Linked DNA regions of Nothobranchius furzeri. The protein of the gene in region 1 interacts with the protein of each later gene in a biochemical or structural test. Links are inferred from orthologs where the notes say so. Each region holds a gene or a part of one and is shown on either strand. Other genes may lie near its edges.

The links.
Region 2: the proteins of rc3h2 (region 1) and klhl6 form a complex in vitro, tested with the Homo sapiens proteins (2 studies listed by BioGRID, with this or other methods). The link is inferred for Nothobranchius furzeri from reciprocal best matches to the Homo sapiens genes RC3H2 and KLHL6.

The regions. Positions count from the first base shown.
Region 1 is NC_091746.1:50,004,297-50,007,002, reverse strand, and holds part of rc3h2 (roquin-2), read left to right. Parts: intron 1-1,896; coding exon 1,897-2,061; intron 2,062-2,157; coding exon 2,158-2,389; intron 2,390-2,706. UniProt on the Homo sapiens protein: Post-transcriptional repressor of mRNAs containing a conserved stem loop motif, called constitutive decay element (CDE), which is often located in the 3'-UTR, as in HMGXB3, ICOS, IER3, NFKBID, NFKBIZ, PPP1R10, TNF and in many more mRNAs.
Region 2 is NC_091754.1:23,540,198-23,544,026, reverse strand, and holds part of klhl6 (kelch-like protein 6), read left to right. Parts: intron 1-13; coding exon 14-460; intron 461-1,998; coding exon 1,999-2,236; intron 2,237-2,605; coding exon 2,606-2,808; intron 2,809-2,898; coding exon 2,899-3,112; intron 3,113-3,336; coding exon 3,337-3,635; 3' UTR 3,636-3,829. UniProt on the Homo sapiens protein: Involved in B-lymphocyte antigen receptor signaling and germinal center formation.

The DNA.
Region 1 (2,706 bases):
GGAGGCTCGTGCACGAGGCGCACATGCTGTAACGAAAATAACAGCTGAGACTCTGTGAAGCTGACAGTCCCTTGTGTGTGTGTGTGTGTGTGTGTGTGTGTGTGTGTGTGTGTGTGTGTGTGTGTATGTGTGTGTGTGTGTGTGTGTGTGTGTGTGTGTGTGTGTGTGTGTGTTTGTGTGTGTGTGGCCCGGAGGACAGAGGACAGGAGAACGCGCAGCTAATTAATTAAATAATTTGGCTCTGTACCTTTCTCTTCAGCACAGCCGACAAAGGTTTATGATGGGTCAGTCCTCCTGCATGTTCAGATAATTCCATTCCCTTGCTTAAAAAATTGTTCCAAAATGAAAGTTGAACCCACATCTTTTTTATCTGTGAATTGAATGCCATTCAGCGAGTCTCAAATAAAAATTTGGGCATCTTACTGTAAAAAAATAAATCATTAATGTAAAAAAGAAACTCTAAAACAACAATGTTCAATTCCAGAATCAAACCCAGGACTTCTGCACGGAAGTCCAAAATCTTACTAGGCGAGCTAAATCACCGGTGGTGACTTCTGTATCTGTAACATTTATATTCTTGATGACAGCTGAAACAACGTTCAAAGAACGGTTCGGAGGGCTATGCCTGAGCGTGAACGCGCATGAAGCAGCCTGCTTGACCCGAGCAGCTCTCTTTTTCTGTGATTTTACAGAAAAACAGGCAATCACAATAAAAATGCCAGGGCTCATTCTACAGGACCAGGGTATTGCAGGAGAATGTATGAAGAAGAAATTTATTATTTCTATACATGTTTTGGCTGTCAGACTTCCATAATGCCCCTTTAAGGTCAAAAATCCTTGAGAGTGTAACCTCCAGCAAAATAACAAGAACATCAGATTCCTTTTCATCACTTGCAATGAGTGAAGAGGTAATTGTGTAAAAGAACGTTTATTAACTCATTCACTGCCAGCCGTTTCCTGATTGCTAACGGCCTTTGCTGCCAGCGTTTCTCACCGTTTTTACTGTTTTTTTAAGAGTTACAGAACGTTGCGTGCTAGGATGATGTCGACACCAAAACAACCAAAACAAAGCAGAGGCTCACCTCTTACATCAGGAAGAATCCGTGTGTTTTCAGCATTATCTGTTCTTTCATAATCCTTTGTCGAATTGTGATCGGCAGACGCTTTTCCGGTTCGCGCCTCACTTTTTTTACAGGAACGGCCCAAAACAATCTCCTAACACATTGATGTTCTGCTTCCTGATCACGTGACGTGTGACGTATGCGGATGAAGATCGGCTTCAGGGCTGAGATGTTTGTTCTCTCAGCGCGGGGGCTCGTTCTGATTTTGAAACAGTCAAAAAATGCAAATGACGACTTTAGTCGTCATTGGCAGTGAATGAGTTAATGCTGAAATTTTTGTAACCATTTGTTACAAATCAGTAAAACAATTTGTCCCCATGGGCTCTTGTAGAAAGAAACATGGCATCCAATATGGTGTCGCCCAGAGACTTAGACCCAATCCCATGTATTTTAGAACAGATTTTTATGGTTAAATGTTATGAAACCGCCAATATTTTTAAACAACTGAGCATCTTTTAATTCATATACAACATTTCAATGGATATTTCCAGAGAGTAATGGTAAAAACTACACATTGTCACTTTAAAGGGCTAAATCTCGGGTAGTGAGTAAAATACCTTATATTTTAAACAAACAGCCATGAATGATGATTTAGTCAGCCTGTTAGTGCAGGTTTCTGTGAGCAACTAATTGCAGCTTTGATGTGACTTTAAGATTGTCTCTTTTGTCTTTCCCAAGCATTTTGTTTCTTTTTTATTTTACTAACTGCTGAGTGATGTTGCTTCAGTGGCACTAGGAAGTCTCTGACTAGCTGAATAATGTTTGTTCTGCTCAGCATGTGGAAAGCAGCGGAGGTCAGTGTATGGGATGCAGGATCAGAAACGAAGAAAGTCTGGCACACTACTCTCCGTGGTCCTATGGGTCCACCGGGTCCTCCCTGAGCCCGTTTGAGCCTGAAGCTCTCACACACACATCTGCTCACTCTTGCTCGAAGCATCCGGTGAGACTCTTTGCACGCTCACACAATTAGCACACCTCTCAAAGACTAACAAGTTTGTTCACATCCACGTTTTGCACTGATGCGGTTCTGATGCAGGAGTTGGACGGTACTGAAGGAGAAGCTGTCTCCAGGAAACAATGGCTGCACACGTTGGATAACTATAGACGTTTGAAAGAGGAGGATCCCATCATTCCCTTCAGCGAGGCTCCTATTATCTCCAAGTGGGGCGCCATTTCCAGAGCATCCCGCACGGCTTACCACAACACGGACCCGGTCCAAGCTACATCCTGCCAGGGCGGTGCCAACACCACGCCCATAAACTTTAAAGGTTTGGAAAACTGAAAAACTATTTTTAATGATTATTTTGTTATCAGTCACTTTGAGTTTTTCATGCAGGCTGAATATGAAAATAGTCTCCTACACCTATCCCCTACATTAGCTTCTGATAGAAAATAGACTGTGAAACTCCAGGAATTGAAAATCCAGACAGATCTACGGTATGTCACAATGTCACTTAACATTCATCAACCGTTGTGACTCGTGACGGTGAAGGCTGTTGTTGGTTTAGCATCCAGGAAAAAGCAGAGAATGTCTCAACTACAGCTAACTGATAGCGTTAGCCACTTGGTGATGGGTTAGGGACCC
Region 2 (3,829 bases), on another chromosome or scaffold:
CTTTTCTTTTCAGTTCCTGCGAGTGGTGGACGCATGCGCCAGCTTCCTGAGCAGGTCCATTCATCTGGAGAGCTGTGTGGGAATCCTGAACCTGGCCGACAGCCACGCTCTTCCAGCCCTGAAGACACGAGCTCAGGACTTCATCGCGTCTCAGTTCTCTCAGGTGCTCCAGCAGCAGGACTTCCTGGAGCTTCCAGCGGAGTCTCTGGAGGCCATCCTGCAGAGGGATGACCTGGAGGTGAAGTGTGAGGAGTGTGTTTTTGAAGCAGTGATGCGCTGGTTGAGAGCCCGGCAGGATCGATCATCGTTACTGGTCAGGCTGCTCTCACACGTGCGGCTGCCTCTGTTGGAGCCGGCATATTTTGTGGAGAAGGTGGAGTCAGACGAGCTGATACGACACTGCAGTGATGCCTTTTCTCTGCTGCAAGAGGCCCGCCTGTTCCACCTCTCTGGCAGGGAGGTTAGTGTCAGTTCAGATCTTTTGAATGAGGTCATAGACCGTCAGTACTTTACCTCTTCTTGACTGATGTTTGAATGACCTCAGCTTGGAGAAATGGAGGAAGATTCTGACCAGATGAATAGGCCAAAAGTTATTTACAATTTACACAGAATTCCTTCAGAAATGTAATGTTTCTGCAAAAATAACAGTGTCATATAAAACTGGTGGTGGTAGAAATTAGCACTGAAGTTGTTTTAAGGCAACAAAAATCCCCTTTGACCCTCATCTGACCCTTCCACTGGATGTGTAAGTGGGACATAACGTAATAGACACGTTTTACCCACAAGCTCCTTTTCCACTGGGAGCGTTTCAGACAGCAGCGAAAGCATTCCACTGACATGGTCACAAAATCACGAGAGAATTTCAAGATCACGCGGGATTTCATCACATCACATGATAACAAGCAAGGAAAAAAATGGCAGCATGTATCCAAAAAGGTCGGTGGTTTATTTTTTTGTTCTGTTTACCTCAGCTACACAGGTTTCAATGGAAATTATGCACTTTTTATTTAGAAGTCAATCATCTAGAAATCTGATTGTGGTTTTTATTTGAAAGTTTGACTCCCTGTCTGGCCTGATCTGAGCCGCTGAGCTTGACGCCTTCTGAAAGCATAAAAAATAGAGTTGAAAGCCTCCTTTCCACCGGGCATGTAACCATCACGAAGCAGCCGCGAAACGCACTTTGTGACTTTTAGCTGCCACCGACAGCTACTGTAAGTTTAATGTTTTGAATGAGTCTCAACAGGAATGCTATATCATATTTAGAGTCTATTTATTATGTGCTACGCTTCCAAAATACATCAAACTCCACAGTTTAGATCGAGCCAGTCAGGAAGTCGAACACGAAATCAGTGTAAAGCATCCAGAAACTTTCAAAATAAAAGACACATGCTGATAAGTGTACGTTGTTTCCTGTAAAATCTCCGTAGCCAATGTAAACAGAACAGAAAATAAATCGCAGACCTTTTAGGATACACTCAGCTGTTTTTCTCCTTGCTTGTTATTGTGTGGACTTCTGAAATCGCACGTGGTGTTGCAGTTCTCCTGTGATATTATGACTTTGTGGGATCAGCGGCGTGGAATGATTTTTCTCCCACTTGCTGTCTCACAGTTGAAAGTTTGCTCGCGGGTAAAACATCACTATTTTGTTACATGCCACTTTCGCGTTCGTTGGAAAGGAGGCTGAAATGTAAGCAACGCGTTCCTAACTTCTGGAACGCTTCCAAAATGCAACGCTTCACAGCCGGTGGAAATGCACTCACCCGCTGCGTACTACGTTTTGCAAACGTTACGCGACACTTACGTGTCCGGTGGAAAGGCCGGGTATCAACCCAGTCAGAAATAAACTATTTCTCCAAACAGAGGCTATTCAAAGAATTATCTATAACAGGCAAGATGCTGATGAAAAAATAACCTTTTCACTTCGCTTTAAATAATCTGACTTATATATTTAAATCATCTTTTTTCACACATTTCTCTCTCTCGCGGACCTGTTTGAAGGTGGTCTCTGAGCGGACCAAACCTCGTGAGCAGCACTTTTTATCAGAAGTCTTCCTCATCATCGGCGGCTGCACCAAAGATGAGCGTTTTGTTCCCACCGTCACATGTCTGGACCCTCTGAGACGCAGCAGGCTGGAGGTGGCCCGGCTGCCGATGACAGAGATTGAGGACGAAACCCATAGTAAAAAATGGGTGGAGTTTTCTTGCATCACTTTCCACAACGAAGTATACATATCAGGTGAGGGTCGTTCTTAGACTGAGAGTGAAATTCATTCACCGTTTGGTGATTTAACACCTGCTGGGTTTCTGTCAAATCAAAGCTGCACAAAGATCAGAAAATACAAGTGAGCAAAAAACAGGAAGAGCTGAAGTTATCTGCATCAACAACTGTGGTTTAGGGTGTTTCCCACCCAGGAACTGAAACCTCAGGCGTGCTGACTTCAACGGCTCAGGACGATGCACACAGTAAAAGTAGAGAACAGGTCATGAGATTCTGCATCAGAGCAGTACCACCATGGTTCAATGCAAAGCAGCAGGGTCGCTTCAGGATAAAGTACTTCATGATGCATCGGCGACTCAGAATGTTTTTTTCCAAACGATCTTGCAGGAGGTAAAGATACACAGCGTGACGTTTGGAAATATAACGGCGCTCTGGATAAATGGATCCAAATAGAGTCACTGGGAAACGCACGCTGGAGACACAAGATGGCAGCTCATGGTGGGAAGGTGTATGCACTGGGAGGATTTGATGGAGTTCAAAGACTTTCCAGTGTGGAGGCGTATGATCCGTTTCACAACCGCTGGACGCAGGTACCATTCTCTCTTTGAGTTTGCTGTCTTACCCTCTTTTTTCCGTTTGACTCAGATTGTTTCAGGCTTTTTTGAATGTTCTTGCCCCAGGTGACTCCTCTTGCTATGGGTGTGAGCTCGTTTGCAGCAGCAAGCTTTGACAGGTGGATTTTTGTGATTGGTGGAGGTCCCAATGGAAAACTAGCCACTGATAAAGTTCAGCGCTGGGAACCAGGGACAGACAGCTGGGAAATGAGGGCTCCGATCCCCATTGAGACGAAATGCACTAATGCTGTAACCTTCAAGGACCGCATCTATATAGTTGGTAAGATGGAAGGAACTTAAAATCTCAGTTATAAATAAAATATTTAAAATTTACTCAAAATGTGCAATGATTTTGTAACCCCTCATTATGACACCATTTAATCCCTCAAAAGTTGCATTTACTTCATCAGTTTATAGGAAAACATGTTGAAACTGCAATATTTCAGTACATTAGAGGACATTTTTATTTTAAATTAATGCAGTTATTAAATTCTGTGTTTTCAGGTGGTGCCATGCACGCCATGTACTGCTACGCCCCCTTGTCCGACTCCTGGACCCTTGTGGCCCAGCTGGGGGAGAGGGCGAGCTGTGCCATCGCCGCCTGCAACAATAAAATTTTTATCACAGGGGGAAGAGATAACAAGAACCAAGTCATCTCCACAGTGATGTGCTGGGACGTTGAGGGAGCGGTGTTGACGGAGGAGTGTGTTTTACCAATGGGAGTGTCTCACCACGGCAGTGTGACCCTCATGAAGTCCTACACACACATTCTTAGGATAACACCCCCATCAGAGGGCCAATGACACAGGCCTCTCTCAAAGAAAGACTATTACAAGGAATTTGCATTTTTACATGAACACTACGCACTTTAAAATTTTGATTTTTGTTGAACAAAACTTTTAGAATTTTTGAAAATTTTCTAATTCAAATTTTTAATTTTAATGTTTGATCTGATTTAAACTAAGATGGTTCTAAAACAAATGAAAATAGACTAAAT